2 linked regions of the Lonchura striata genome follow. The protein of the gene in region 1 purifies or fractionates together with the protein of each later gene. This does not show direct contact. Links are inferred from orthologs where the notes say so. Each region holds a gene or a part of one and is shown in the gene's direction. Other genes may lie near its edges.

The links. The genes of interacting proteins can lie anywhere in the genome.
Region 2: the proteins of MTMR4 (region 1) and DNAJC10 purify together in Homo sapiens (affinity purification with mass spectrometry; 3 studies listed by BioGRID and IntAct, counting the BioPlex papers as one, with this or other methods). This does not show direct contact. The link is inferred for Lonchura striata from reciprocal best matches to the Homo sapiens genes MTMR4 and DNAJC10.

What each region holds. Positions count from the first base shown.
Region 1 is NC_134622.1:1,318,330-1,326,264, reverse strand, and holds the start of MTMR4 (phosphatidylinositol-3,5-bisphosphate 3-phosphatase MTMR4), read left to right. Parts: upstream 1-4,660; 5' UTR 4,661-4,845; coding exon 4,846-4,896; intron 4,897-7,155; coding exon 7,156-7,245; intron 7,246-7,935. UniProt on the Homo sapiens protein: Lipid phosphatase that specifically dephosphorylates the D-3 position of phosphatidylinositol 3-phosphate and phosphatidylinositol 3,5-bisphosphate, generating phosphatidylinositol and phosphatidylinositol 5-phosphate.
Region 2 is NC_134610.1:24,460,191-24,468,515, forward strand, and holds the start of DNAJC10 (dnaJ homolog subfamily C member 10), read left to right. Parts: upstream 1-5,065; 5' UTR 5,066-5,270; intron 5,271-8,325. UniProt on the Homo sapiens protein: Endoplasmic reticulum disulfide reductase involved both in the correct folding of proteins and degradation of misfolded proteins.

The sequences.
Region 1 (7,935 bases):
TTATTCAGCAGCACCCCAGATGTGCCTCACCACCTGCTCTTCCCTTTCTGCTTCTCCAGATTCATGGTCTAGTGTTAACAGCTTGGCTTACATGACTCTTCCCACTTTTCCCCAAAACTAGCTGCTGATGGGAATGACCTTGAAGGCAGCACTAGTGCTGGGGTAATCCTGACTAATGGAGCCCCTAATGAGCACTTGGTACCTTAATATATTACTTAAAACTAATCTGGCAGGTGGGTTGGTGCAGGTGCTGTGCTGGCACTCGGTGCTCAGCTCCCACAGCAGCATTCCCTCTCCTGACTGCTGGCATACTGGCACTGTAGGCATCTGGTTCTTACCCTCTGGAGGGGCCCATGACTTATCTGAGGTGGGCATTGGCAGCCACCCCTCGTGCTGGTGCATGGAGTTGACAGCCCATGACTTGTGCCCTTTTGTGCCTCTCCTCAAAGGTTTCTTGCTGCATATTCAGTTCCATGCTCACCTCTGGGCACCTTTCTGAACAAATACCAAATGCAGTATTACAGATCTCTAAATTATTCTATCATCCTATCCAGATTAAAACATGACACCCACCATCCCAGTCCTGATTTATGGGGTATAAAACAGTAACTTCTGTTTGCACAGGTTTAAGGGCTCGTTTCCACCTCAGGCTAAGCACCCTTTCAGTTCTCACACAAACCTCCCTAGGCTTTGAGGAAATGAACTGTTTATGTAGGGAGACCTGAAACAAAGATGCCCTTTGTGCAACAGAAGTAGGGGAGGCAGAACAAGAAGTGCCTTTGGCCACAGCTCATCAGTCTCAGCACCAGCTTATGGAGAGAGAGGGAAATACCTGTCTGAGTGCAGCTCATCTCACCCAATGCAGGAATCTGCCTGGCAGAAATAGAATAAATTTTAACTTTTAGAATGAGATAAATTATGCAAGTCTCTCCCTTCCCCATCTCACCTGGAAAACAAGACCTAGATAACCAGTTCCTAGTTTGATCTTCACTGAAAAGAAATACTCAAACCTGGAGGGATCTATAGTAGAGTATCCTGATGGCCCCTCTACTGCTGGAGCCCCTGGCTATCAGACAGAGCTTCCCTGGCTCCCACTGACTTATTTCTCATGTCCTGGAATTCCCTTTCCAGGGCAGTCACCTCCTCCTGCCAATTTTTCTGTCTGTTTTCTCCAGCTGGAGGCGGATCAGGCCAGTCTGTGCAGTGGATGTGCTACCAGGGACAGGGTATTCATGCAGATTTCTGCCAGCCCTTGCCTTCACTCCCCTCCATCTGTGCTGGAGTGAGGAGAAGTTCACTCTTAATCTATAGAAGGGATGGGTGTGGTGCCTTCTACCTAAGGAGAGAACAATTTTATTTGTGTTTAGCCAAAAAGACATAAAGCTACACTGGGATTGGGAATGGTGTGCATGTCTGTGGAAGGCTGAGTCAGGTGTGCTGGCAGCTCTCTACAATCAAAGGGACCAGTTTTTCTCTTAGAATCATGGAATGGTTTGGGTTAGAAGGGACCTGGCCAGGTGGGAATTAGCTGCACCCTGGCTCACACTTTCCCAAATTTGCAGAAAGCTGGACCTGCCACTGGCAAAATGATTTGTTTCAGGATGCTGACTGGCTCCAGAACACAAGAGATATTTCAGCATCCTGATGCCCATCCTGTGCTCCCAATGCAGATTCCTTGGGCAAGTTGGACCAGATGTTCCCTGTGAACCCTTTGCCATGGGCTGGGTTCCTGGTGCATGTATGTGTGTCTCCATAAGGAATATCATCTCCTTTGGAGGCTGCAGGCTGGCCCCTTGAGTGCCAGTCCTATCTTTGCCAAGCACTGTATCGTCTCCAAGCCTCTAAATCCCTTTTGGGACCTTCAGGAGAAGGCTGCAAGCTGTTTACCTGCAGTGTGGATCCAGGAAGGGTGGGAGGAGCAGCACAGGAACAGTGGGCATTGCTGGTGGGAGGGAAAAGGGGCAAATCACTGCCAGCTGCCCTTAAGAACATGCTGCCCGCATTATATTTGCCTCCTCCTCCTCAGAATTGAGAAACACTTGTAACGGTGGTTGGGAGATGATGAAGGAGATTTCTCTCTCTGACTACATGAACACACACACTGAGAACACTCAGAGGAGCCCAGTTGTGTGAAATAACCTTCTCTTCCTCTGTGATTTGTGACAGTGGAGAAGAGAGCCCAGCTGGGGAGGCATCCGAGGTGGCATTTAGGAATTCCCTCTGGCTAAGCCAGCTAAGGAGTCTGGAGCACTCTGCAGTCCTGTGCTGGGCTGCCCAGCACCACTCCTGCCTTTGCCCAGGTCACTGGAGGGAAAGGAGGGCAAGTATTTTGGGAACTCATGAAGGAAGTGAAAGCAGAGTCTGTATCAAGTTCCTCTTGAAAGTCTGTGAAGCCACTGAACTTCAGAGCAACGTTTCTGCTCTGCACTAGGCTCAGTGCTTGGGTAGAAGTTTCTAAGTAATGTGTGAGTCTTTTTCTGATACTAAAAGTGCAAAAATATTTCAGTGAAAGCAGAAGTTCTATTTGTGAACATTCAGGTCAGCTTAGGTTGGAAATTCAGAGTACTGATCTGAAGAGCAGTCCTTTAACTCTGCACAGCTGCAGCTTAAGGGGGTTACAATGCAAACAATCCTTGTGCCAGGCCCTGAACTGAGCCTTGGCCCTAAAAATCTTACTGTTGGTTGGAGCAAACCTCTTACCTACCTTGTCTGTGGTTTTGTTCATTACAGACTCTGTTCTTGCGCTGTGTGCTCTTAACAGCAATGTGTACTCTCAGTCTGCCCAAGAGAGTCCCGGACTTCAGCTGTTTCCCAAATGTGCTGTGTTGCTTTTCCCCTGATACATGTCAAAAACCCAATAAATATTTGCTTTCTAGTGTTTCTAGCCACACTTTCTCTCCAGTATAAAAGGTTCCTTCAGCTTTAGCTGCTCTGGTTTCTCTCAGCATTCCCTCCAGTGACCCAGGCAAAGGTCACCTGCAGGGAGCAGGACACTTCTCCTGCCACTCACTTTTGGCCAAGACAAATCTGTAACCTCATCCATAACCTTCTGTCCTTATGTGTAAGCCTCTGTTTGTGTCCATAACCCTATATTTTTGTGTTCTGGTTTGTGGGTGCCAACTGGTTCAAGTGCCCCAAGGATGAGCAACGCCTGACACTCACCCACTATGTGCTCCATGTAAATGGTGGAGTGGGGCAAAGCAAGGGTGAAATGGGATTTCATGGCTTATCTGCAGGTGTGGCTATGTGTTCATCTAAGTCTTCTATCCTAAGTAGTGAAACTGGTGTAACCATGTGAGTCTGGGGGATTCTTTTGCCAGCAAGGGAGCTCATGGAACTGAATTTTGCCCTGCAAATAACAGTGAGCAGCATGTCTGGGTATCACAAAGCTGTCCCTTTAGTCGAGGCAGCTCTGAATATGCTAACCTTGAACAATTTTGCAGAGAAATGCTGAAGACTTTTATCTGACTCAAGAAAAGCTCTTTGAGATCCCATTGGTATTGCTGGGAAGAGCAGTCTGTGGTGTCTTTGGGGCAAACACATCTAAGATGAGCTCAATGGCTACAGGCTGTGCTCTGTTTGGATTTGTGTTGTGGGAGCAAAAAGCTGATGTGATTTGAGCCATTTAGTGGGGCCTTTGAGGACTGATGAAGGGTCAGGTTTTAATTTTGCATTCTAACAGAGATTCTCCCTCTGCTGGGGGCAGAATAGCAGCTGATGGTAGAAATGAAGATGGGGCTGTCCAGGAAGCTGCTTCTCTGGTTGCTGAGATAGACTGTGACCTGGGAGCTGTTTGCTCCTGGGCTTGATGAACAGCAGGTAGTAAAGGTGAGCTTGTAGGGGGCTGGTGTTGGGAGGTTGGGTGCTCAGCCACAGCATTTCCTGCGCACACGGCCTTACCCTGTGTCTGTATTTCCAACGGGAGCTGGGGAAAGTTCACATGGGAGCTAAGCGTCCAAGTGGTCATTGAGTGGTCCACTCCAGAGCCCAGGCTCCAGCACACAGGTGCTGGTGGGACATCTGACTAGTCCCTATGCACATGAAGCTCCTGGAAAGGTGGACTTTTCATCTTGGGACTGTTGAATCACTATTCAACATGGTGAATGCAGCAGGACAGCCCCCTTATCCTCACCTCCCGCTCCAGGCACGGAGGACTGCTGGAAGACAGAAGGCTCAGGGGTGCAGTCGCACATCCTGGCTGAGCTTCTGGAGCAGGGCAGGTGCCGGGGGCTGGACATTGGAGTGGGGGGCTGGGGACAGAGGCCTCAGGGCAAAGGGGTTGATGCTGGGGTGGAGAGGTCAGCACAGGGATGAAGGGCTCAGGGCAGAGGGTTTGATGCCGGGGCGGAGGGCTCGGAGCAGAGGCCTCGGTGCTCGTGTGGGGTCAATGGGCTCCGGGGAAGGCTCCGTGCAGGGCTCGCGGTGCCGGGCACGCAGCCGCCTCCCCGCTATTGTTGCCGTCGCTCCCAGCGCCGCCATCGGTGCGGCCCGAGCAGGAGCCGGCGGGAGCAGCGCCCCGGGCCGGGAATGCCGCTCCCGGCCGAGGAACGGGCCGTGCCCGCAGGGCCGCCGCCCGCTCCATTTTCTGTCTCCCCGTCACCGAGACGCTCAGATGGCAGAGCGGCGCTCGGCGGTCCTGGGAGGGAGGTGGAGTCTGCCCATCCTCCGCCCGCCCTCCCTCCATTGTCGGCGGCGGCGCCGGCACCTGCTCGGGCTGCCGGCGGCCGGGATGCTCCTGCCCTTCCTGGCGGAGCGGGGACGCTGCCGCAGTGCCGGGGCCGCAGCTCGCAGCCGGAGGGAGGAGATGCTGCTTGTGCCTGCCCGGCCCTGCTGCCGTCTCGGGAAATGAACATGAGTCTGCCAGGCCGCGTCTCCTGCTCCATGCTCAACTGCTTTGTAAGTGCTGCTTTTTATTCTCCTTCTCTCCTCCGTGGAAGCGGGGCCGTAAGCCAGCTGCAGTCTCCAACTCGCATGCCGGTGGAGGCATCCTCTGGATCGGCCCGGGGAGAAGGGGGACCCCCTTTCTTGGCTCTCACACGCTGCCGGAGGACGGCGCGGCCCGTCCCTGCTGCCCCGCCGGGCCCAAGGGCACAGCAGTGCCCGGCTGAGCCCTGGCCGCTGGGCTGGGCCCCGCAGGCTCTGCACCCTGCCTGGAGCTGGGAATTACCGTGCTGGAGCAGCCAGACCCCGAGCCCCCGCCCCTCACTGCCCGCGGCCCTGTGGGACCCCTCCGGTGCGGTGCTGGGCTGTGCGGGGTCCTGTGCTCGGCGCCTTTTTCACCTTCAGCGAGAGGGGTTTTCCTGCTCTGAGCCTTCTTGCAGGCCCACCCTCAACCCCCCAGGGCACTCCTGGCCAGATGGGCTCCGAGGGCTTCAGGAGGCTTGTGGAGAGAGCAGCGTGCTGACCCCCACGCTGCTGGTAGCAGGGATGGGGCCGTGGCAGGAGGGGATGCTCAGCCTCTGCCTGCCCTGTGCTGCAGGCGAGGAGGGACTCAAGGACACCCAGGCGGGTGGAGAGCTCAGGCTGTTCTGTTCCAGTTCCTGCTGCTCCCTGGGATTTCTCTGCGAGCTGCAAAGTGAGGATGGGAGAGCATCTCTGCTTCCTGGCTGCTGCACCGGCACATGGGCACGCACCTTCTCTTTGTGCTCTTCTGGGCTGGTGCCTCAGCCTTGGAGTGAGCCACTGGCAGGAGGGGCCCCAAGGCCCCCGTGGTCTCCAGTGAGCATTGGCTGCTGCTGGAGATGGTGCTGTGCTCTGTGTCCCTCACAGCATGGTGACAGGGGCAGTGCCTTTGCCTCCAGCTGCGCCTGAGGCTGAGTTTTATGAAGGCTCTAACAGCATGTTACATGCATGCAGGTTCCTTGGATGTGGGGTGGGAGGGGTCTGGCTGCCCCTGTCTGACGTTCTGGGAGCACCTCAGGCCAGGCTCTTCCTTCAGGCGCTGAGGCTTTAGCACCTCTCAGTAACACAAGAGGATTCAGCATCATTTGAAATATTCCTGAGCCAGAAGGATTGAGATCTCCTTTCTTCAGGTTGGAATTGGGATTCTGGCTTGGGTGGCATATCCAGAAAGATATGTCATTTTAAAATGTTACTCAGTGCTTACAGAACACAGTGTTTTCTGATAAATGCTAGAGCCTAGAAGTAGAGTTTTGAAGAAAACATTCCCACACCAAATACATGTGGAATTAGCACCATCCTGGACTCCCAGCAGTGAGCATCTGCAGCTGAATGTCTGAGTGCCACTCCTTTGGGCAGCAATTCAGTGATGTGACAGGGCCTGGGTGAGAGCTGGTGAAAATTGGCACCAGTGGTTCACACCAGAGCTTAAGGAGCATTGGGACAATGCTCTGATACGCATGGTGGGATTTGGGGTGTTCTGTGCAGGGCCAGGAGTGGGACTTGATGATCCTTATCCCTTCCAGCTCATACCCTGATTGTATAATGAAGATTCTCGTGTTCCAAACGGAGACATACACTCCACTTGTCAAGGATGGCATGTACAGGTTCTGTGTGACCATCCTGAGGCCTCTGTGTGTTTTCTCAGGTGTCCATCTGAACAGGGTCAACATGTCCAGCTGCCCTGGGCTTGGTGCTGGCACCAGTCAGTAGTGCCTGTTGTGAGTTATGTGCACTGGGGTACAGTTGTGGTAGGGTTGTAGGTTGTTCACAGTTGTATCTTCTCCAGAAGATTCAGGGTCTTCCCAGATGTCTTTGGTGTGAGAGTGAAAACAAAAACTCCCAAAACAAAGCAGTCCTTAAGAGGAGGAAGAATAGGCTGACATTGGACTGTAGATGGAAACCCTCTGTCATGGTGTGTGTGCTCTGGTGCCATGGAGCAGGTAACGGGAACAGCTGACGTGACAAGTTACTGTCACATCAGTCCCCTGTGGCCAAGGTGTGTCTGCTTGACTTTCCAAACACCACTCAGCTGGAAGAGGCGGGACTTGGAGGCTTCAGCATTTCACTGTGCTGTGGGTACTCTGCAACAGTCAGAGGAGCTGCTGGGGTCTGGAGGCAGAACAGACATTTCCATGCACAGGTATCCATCCCCAAGCTCCTGGGCTGCCAAAAGTATCCAGCAGCTTCAATTTTTGGCTTTCACAGCGTGTTCTGGCCGAGGCTGTCTGACTGTGTCCTCTGTTTGCAATGCAGGGTGAGGAGGGCCCTCCCAGTTTGGAGTACATCCAGGCCAAGGACTTGTTCCCTCCGAAGGAGCTCATAAAGGAGGAGGAGTCACTGCAGGTAAGGAAGTAAAAACACCCAAACAGCTCAGGGATGTGCAGGCTAGGCTCTGCAGAGCAGTTCTCCAGCCCAGCACATCCTGGAGGCCACAGGTGGGCTAGGTTGGGGGCACATTCAGGGCAGCAGGTCCCTGTGCTTGGGGGCCAGGCCAGCTGTCCCCAGAGCCCTGTCCCTGTGTGCCCAGCCCTGGCAGGATGTGGCCAGCATTGCCAGCCATGGAGAGTGTGGCACAGCCAGCCCTGGCATTTCCTGTGGGAAGTGCTGCTGCTACCCTGCCCTGCAGGAGCATCCAGGGAGATTCCCGGGACAGGGGCAGCATGGGGGCCGTGCTCTGTGCAGCCCTGCAGCTGCACTGCCTGCTCTCCCCTCGAGCACCTTGTCCTGCTGCATGGTGGCTGGAAGAAAGAACCCCTGTATGGTGCCAGCCTCCTGCTGCAAAAGCCCTGGGAAGAGCCCCGGGTGCTGCTGCTGCTGTGCAGCAGGGGCAGCATTCCCTCCTGGGAATTGGTGCTTCCTTTAACAACCTCTGGTGCTCACCGTTCTCCTCCTGGGGCTGGAGCCCGGTTCACCTTGTTCTTGCTGCTGCAGTGTTTTGAGTTTGTTCAGAGACTGTCACCGCCTTGGCAAACAGTGCAGGGGAAAAGAAGGACTGAGAGCTGTTGGCTTGAAGGAACAGCCGTAGGCTGGGGA
Region 2 (8,325 bases), on another chromosome or scaffold:
CAAATATTTTATGTTAGTGCAAGTCACAGCAATCTGGCTCCTTAGCTAAACCTTTGATTGTGGGAATTACTAATAAAATCTCACCGATTTTAGGTATCACTGAAGATGCTTTATGTTTCTGAGAGCCATTAAAATTAGACGCTATACTTCTGCCTTTTTGTTTTTCTATATATAAATAAATAGAGCACATTTTTGTCACATAGAATTTAAAAGCTGGAAGGAACATAGAGGAGTAGAATCCTTGGAATAAAATTACAGAAAAGCATAGAATATATTCAATGTACCTTTATCCTGAAGACAATCTTTGGGATTTAAAACTATTAAATGAAATGCACTCTAGCATAGCAATGGGACGCTGATATTCAAGCTTATTTTACTCCAGAGTTGTCAGCCTTTCCTTCTCTGCAGTCTCATTTACATTATTCAATACACTTTCCATGTTTTCCAAATACTAATGGTGCAATACAGAAGTTCCATAAACTCAGCCTTTTCAACAGCAAATGCATCATATTCAAAATGTTCTTAGATATAAGTTGTCCCTTATTTGGTCTTCAGTGAAGACCACAGATGGGAATAACATTTGCTCACACTTAATTGCAGAGCAGACTATTTAATAATCAATGTGCTGGCACATTCTTCATTTTGTCTTAAAATAAAAGTGTTTTCTTTAAAAGAACTAAGTTCCACTGGATAAAATTCCAAAAGTCTTCTTTTTTATTTTAAAGACAGCATGGAAGTTCAGTGATCATGCAGACCAAAATCCTAGAAGACTTTCCAGCAGTTCCAGCCAAGGATATACAGGAATTCAACAGTACCAGCACCCTGAAGTTGTGACTTCTGACTAGTTAACACAACACTATTAAGGTTTAATGAAAGGAGGTATTTAATACTCACTTGACAATTTAAAAGGGAACAAACTAATGATGCCAACTGACCACTCAGTGATGCATACTGTAAGAAATGACAGTCAGGGGCAAGAAATCACCCATGTGCTATTTTCTTGGTACATAGTACATGGAAATGTGACTTGAACTAACACCCTGCTCCTGCCATAAAAATCTAACTGCAAAGCAAAGCTAAGATTAACTTCTCATCCTAACAAACCATTAGAGACTTTTTTGTATCTATGCAAAAGTAATGCAGCAAAAGTAATTTGGCAGCATTTTAATACTATCCAAGAAAGACAATCTGACAAAGGAAATCAAGTCTGAAATCATAAACAGCTGCAGAGAGCAAAACTTGACTTAAGCAAGGTAGCACAAATAATAAAATATGTCCTATATTAAAGTCACTTGTATATTCTAGCTGTGGAGCACTCCCTGTATTACACAAACAGAAATGTAGCATTTAAAAGGACATGGATGTAATGGGGACTAATGTTCCAAGGTCTAATTGTGCATTGTTCTCTGCATGATCACCTACTCATTTAAATTGGTGAAACATGCCCCCTTGGAATCCTATGAGTTCCTTAGCTGGAAGGGGCCCAAAAGGATGATCAAATCCAACTCCTGACTTCAGTAAATACAGACCTCAAGCCCCTGTTACAAATTGCTTGCACTCAATCATCCCAAAACTACTTGTAATCCTCAAAAATATAATTTTTCTGGTTTTTGTTAAATTGTACACAGAGGCATGTTCTGCACAAGCCCATTATTTTTAAGTACATTTTTTATTGTAATGTACTGTTTACAATGAGAAAATTTATTAATTTTAGATTTTTTATTCTTTCACATATCCACTAAAGCCATGCATACTTCACTGGGTGTAAGGACAACAGTGTTAATGTTAAGCCTGTGACAAAAATTTAAAATAATTCCTGTATGTATCTACTTGACAAAACACGAAAGAATATCCCTCTTTATTCTTAATAACTTTCTATAATGTTCAAGTCAAGTGATTTTGTAAGAAAACTGATTTTGTAACCATTTGTCTCCATGAACATCAGCCACGCAAATAACACTACAAGTTTAACCACTCTTATCCCTTTAACCATCCTGATATTTCTGTATCTATCTTCCATTGACAAAAATATGCTTAATGAAAGAAGTGCAGTGTTCTCCTTTCCAAAACACAAGCTGGATTTATTAGCTTCACAGATTTATTAATGACATTACATGTAACATGATATAATTTGTTCTGAATTACATGGATACAAAAAGAAATATACTGAATGTTCTAATCAAGGGGCCCTTACACTTGGAGAAACACTGTGTTGAGCTAAGAAGAGCAAACTGCCTTTCATTTTTTTAGAAAAGGTATCTTAAAGAATGGCTTTGGTAGGTGAAAATTCAGTATCACACTAACTGTAAATTTATAAACTGTTCTAATTCAGATGCAAATTCATACAAATAGGAGGTTTTGAAATAATTTGTTGAATATATGTGATATCCTAAGAATATATTCTGACTACCTTTTTATAAATTTTCCTTTATACTCCCTGATATAGAGACCTAAACTTGGAATTGCTGTGATTCATTTTTTCTGAAAGGATTATATTGATATTACAATGTTATATTATATTATACAAAGTAAGTTGGTCATAGCTAGATTTAAAAGAAAAAAGTACCATTTTATTTGCAGTTGGTTTTATTTATATACTGAGAACGTAACTTTTCCTAGAACCTAAGTAATACTCTGGTCTCTGAATGCAAATTGTTACAGAAATACAATTAACCTATCATGAGATTTTTTAAGATTCTTCTGAAATACTTAATCTTTTAATTTTTATATGTTACCAGTGATGCCATTTTGTTAGAGAAATGTATTTAGTAATAGGCACAGTGGAATTAAGTGTCACCCTTAGCACACCAACCTGAGAATCTGGAGAAGGATTTTCTTTTGTCATACACTGCCTGTAAGGCCTTGCCTAACTCAGTCTCCCCATGCCTTCAGTATGCGAAGATGAAGCATGTGTCCCATCATAGGTTTGCTGGTGTAATATTTAACATTTTTATCCTTTCCTTGGCAAGTTGCTTAAAGAGGGAGAGGGAAATCATGATGCCAAAACAACCAGAAAAGGCATTTTTGCAGCTATCTGGTATGCATAACATGTAGAGTGGGTTTTGTTGCTGTTTTTCAGTTTCTTGGGTGGGAGGAATTTTTGGGGGGATGCAGAGGGGATTGTTTGTTTCTTGGTTTCTCTGGATTTCTTTAAATCTACAGTGCTAGAAATGCTGTGTTCGGATTGTCCCAAGTTTTTCCAAGTTCCTGTCTCACTCATTGCAATTCAATCTGGGTCCATCCAAGAGAATCCCACAGCAAACCCAATCCAACATTGTCTGGAACATCCAGACACATTTGCAGACATTGGACTTTCCAAGCTGCACGCACGGTATAACTCACATGGGGGATCTGGAAACACTCCTGCAAACTCTTGTCATAGCTGGATGTGAATAGAAATAAACCAAAACAAATCTTTCTCAAGAAAAACTCTGCTGTACCATCTGCTAAGGAGCACTTTGCTCCTTATGGCCAGTTAAAACACTGTGTAGTCCTTTACAAAGGCTTTTGCAGATGATGTTCTATCACTTTATACTGCCTCTGCAATAATGTTTTCCAAACTCAGCTGCCCATGAATTCTAAAATAATGTTTAACTGACCAAATATTTTAATGTGTGTAAACAGTCCTTTTGACCTAAGTGAAAAGGTGAACATACAGCTAGAACTATTGCAATACACTTTGATCCCTAACTAAGCTCAGTTTCTTTTCAAGTAAACAAACATTCATAGTCCATCACTACAACAGTTTTAAAATATCAAGTTTTATGCCCTACATGGGCCTCTAAAAATATCAAAACATTCAAAAGTTCAGGCATTTATACTTTGACAACTAATGTTGCAATTATATTACATTATATCTTTAAATATTATGCACCTCAAATATATCTTGAGACATACCTTAAATGTTTATTTTTGTATGCCTGTTTTAGTTTTCTGTGTTACATCACATTTTCTTTTTATTCCTGCTTTTCATCCACTTTTTGTTCCCCACTAACTGATCCACTGCAATTACAAGGGGGTCTAGGCCAGGTCAAATTAAGGACCACAAAACTCTGTGTAAACATTCAGATTCTGTTTACAAGATGGATCCAAGCAAAAGCTCCCAAGGTTAACTCTCACAAGAGGTATTTTACTTCAAGAGGTTTCTTTTCCCCTGAAGCAGAGCAAGCATGAAAATCAAGTTGTTTGAGTCTAAAAGGGAAACAGTTGCAGCAGAGCTCCTGCAGCCTCTCCTGCCATCAGCAAAGGTAGAATTCACCAGGAGCACCAGGAGGGGTTCTGCTATTGCACTGTTCTTGCACCTCATTACAGCTTGCATCATACTCAAATGCTTTTACTGGCCCCTGAAAAACAGTATTTTATTGGAAAAAAAAAAAAAAAAAAAAAACAACAAAAAAAACCAAACTCCAAAACCATTGAAAAACTGTTCCCTTCTGCTCTCATTACCAAGACTTATCTACTGTGCTTTGGGCTCCCTCTCACCTCTGCCTAAATAAACCTTTCCTCCTTTTGATATTTAATATCACCCAAGACTGCCAGATATGGCTGGGACAGCTATGCCATGAAGTGCACATTCTAAAAAGCTCCATTGTATTGTTTTTATCCAAAACCTTTGGAAACTGTGGTGGACACAGAATTTCAGATCTGTATCCTGCTTAATGCAGACCAAGGTAAGAAAATTAGGTGAGTTTTTGTCTTACAATTTAAGTATTTTGTTTCATCAAACCACCAGGCAAGGTCTTTGGCCTAACTCCACATTAGAAACAGCATAAAATAAAGGACATGAAATATCAAATGTTATATTAATATATTACTAGAAAATTTGAATATTCTGCCATTTTCATAATTCACAGCAACTTGTTAAAAAAATGTTCTCACTATCCACTTTATGCCTCAGAATCTTTCATTTTTTCCAGGAAAAGTGCCCTGTTCAGAGTTATTCTCCTGGGAAACATGGATTTTTATTCCAGTCAACTCCCAGCTCAGTTAATTTCACAATGGATTGCAATAGGAGTAAGTCTACAGAGCTGAGGGCAGTGTTTCCTCTCCATGTGTGTCAGAGGGATTTACTCCAGAGGAGCACTGACCTCATCCCTTGGATCAACCACCATTTAGTGGCTGGAAAGCAGTGTGTGTTCCTGGGGCAAATCTTATTTTGCCTTCACCCAAATGGGATCAAGTTCATGTTCTCCAAGACACATTCATAACACGAATGGAAGCCTGATAGCCAAGGAAGATTATGACTTCTGTGTCCCTCTGCAGGATCAGAGGTGAGTAAACTCAGAAACTCAGTCACCCATTTTTATTTGCCATTAAAAGAGTGCAGAGGTTTCCTGTGTTTGCTGTGACAAACGTGCAAGACCTACCAATACTTTGAGCACATCAAGTAACTTCTAGGAGTCAAGAAGCTGAGAGAAAAAGACCTCTTCAAAAATAGATTTTTTAATGCCATAAGAACTCCTACAATTGTCATTTGTTGGCCAACACCTTTTGCTGGAAAAATAAAATGGGAAAGAGAGAGACAATACATTCATGGTTCCTTAATTCTACAGTAAGAAGCCAGGCTAGAAGACAATTCCATGTAAAGGCTCTCCAAAAGAAAAAAAGCATTGGAAAATTTGGTGCAAATACTGTTTATTATCCTCATGTTGAAACTGTAATTTCTTTCAGAGTTAATCTAGAGGCAATGAATTAATAATGAATATTATTTAAATCATCTCTTGAGACATCTCAGTTAAGATATGGAAAGTCACAAAAGCACCAAGAAAAAACAAAACAGATGCAATGATTTGCATAAATATAATTTGCTAAAATAATATTTGACTGGAATGCAGTTAAAATCTTAGGATCCTATATGTCACACATTGCTACATTCCTTTCTATACCAGCAATGCCCTGAGTTTTGCTCTGAAGACAGCTGCTATCATTTTTAAGGCCACCTAATAATTTTCCTTGAACATTCCTCAGATGTAAAAGCTATTTTCCACACTTAGTTTCCATAGATACAGTAGATTTTTTATTAATCAGAATGATAGCCTGCAAACTGCTAAGCAAACACATCATCAGAGAGCAGTTAATATTCCAAGCTGTGTCTGTTTAAACAGGGTCCCACTCTGATCACATTTAATTATGGGCAATTAAGGCAGAGTGGAATTGGACTACATGATATTTTCTAAATGGAGATTTTAATACTGTGGTTCAAGAGAGAAACACGGGTCAGTTAGCACTTAGTGCTGATACTTACAGAGCATACTGAGAAAAACAATCAGTTGCTGCTTCAGGGAAGAAAAATCTCTGTCAGGGAGACCAAATTAAAGCATCATTTCATCCAAGTATTTGACTAAAATTGAATTTTAATCCAGGAAAGCTAAACAGATAAACCAAATACCAGAGGGGAAACAGAGCTCTTTATCTATCGAGTTAAACCAAACAAATCTGGAAACATGCATCCAAAGTAAAGGCTCCAGCATCTTTTGCTTAAACAGTGATTTGGATTTTTTTTCTGCCTGTCTCAATAGGCCAGTGAAGCAAAACAGATGGGCTAATAATTATTGCTGGGTTAAAGTTGCTACCTGGTCTGAAAAATCTTAGCCTTGCAACTCAGCATGTAAAGTATCTGAAAGACTCTGAAGAAGTAAAGGACTCATGAGTATTCAGAACTCAGAGACATTTTAAAACTAAGAAAAAGATAATTTTTAATCATATCCACAAGCATTCTCTTTCCTTTATCATCTCCAAATATCTGAACTGCTTAAGAATGAGAATGAGTTGATATCAAAAATATTTGCAGCAAGTGGAAGAAATGAAATAAAGTATGCTTTTGTAACAAAAAGAGGCAAAAGGAGAGGTGTTGCAGAAACACAGTATTAAAACTGGTTCTCTCCCTGGGGAGTGCTCATTAGCCAAGTAATTGATCCTCGTGTTGTGTCAAATATTGAAATATTCTGGCCCCTCTCATGTACTTATGTGGCTATATTTAGTGACTAAACCAGCAGAATGTTGGCCTTCCCAAAACAGACACATACCTGTGATCTGAAGCACAATGAAGCTTCATTTACTTTTCTGACAAAAATAATTTCCAGTTTCTTGGTGTAGCTGTGGGCAAATGTATCTGTCATTATGTTAGTATGACAGAAGTTTTTATTGCAACTTCTGAAGCAAGTCCACCACCAGTGGGCAGATATTGCTATGGCAACTCAGCACAAGTGCAGAAACTTCTGAAGGTGTTAGGCAACACAGTGCCATCAGCTGCTGATGTTGCTCGAGTTTAGTGCAGTTCATCTTGTCCACAGTCATCTAATCCAGTACACCAAAAATAGAGCTTTCAGCAAAGTGATCTGGAACCAAGCTGTGATAGAAAATTAACAAATTACAATGCAGTGGGAAAAAAAAAAAAGAATGAAACAGAAAAGTGGCTCAGTTTTCTCTTTTGGAAAATCCAATATAGAATAGTGAATTTGTTCAGTTGTTTTTTAAATGCAGGGCATGTAATTCTTACTAACACTTATATAATTAGTTGGAAAAATGTAATACAGAATTTTTTTTTTAATTTTGTAAAATGAAAATTTCGAGAAGTATTTTTACTTTAGAACACTCGGTTCCTATCCCTGCAATAATTTTAATTTCACTTGCAGTGGTCTATATAAAACAAATCTTAGTAACTTTCCTATTAAAATTCTTCACATAGTTTGAGGAAGGAAAATAATGAGAACTGCCCTTCATTTTGGCTATTGCGAAAGTTAAGAAGGCTACAGAGAAGTGCTTTCTCTCACACAGGGGATGGCTCCTGCAGAAGAGTGCAATACCCTTCCAGAGGAGTGTGGACAAGCTCATGCTGCTGCTGCTGCCATGGGCTTGCTAAGTGAGGGGAAAAAACCTTTAGTCTTTCTTTTTAGTGCAATGGAGCAATACATTCAAACACAACTTTTAAAGCAAGGACTAATCAGTGAACTACAAATTATTATCCAAATATTCTGTTCCAGCTGTCTTCTGTATAGCGAGCTGAGTATATTCTTGTAGGTCTGGAAAGAGACCAGAGGCAGTGCTAATACCTTGGAGAAGTGTTCCTCTACATCCAAAAGGAAATCCTAACAAAAACATCCAGGTTACTGCTAATTGTCAAAGAAAATGGAGAACACATAATGCCACAAAGACAACTGGGAAAAAGAATTAAATATGCAAAGTGCAAAAGACTGAATGAGACAAAATGAAGAGAGGGGTTACATTTATAGTTCACAGGCACACAAATGATTTTAGAATGCTGTAAGACACATGATGTAAAAGTGCCACAGTGAAAAAAGTTTTGATACTTCATTAAATATGGAC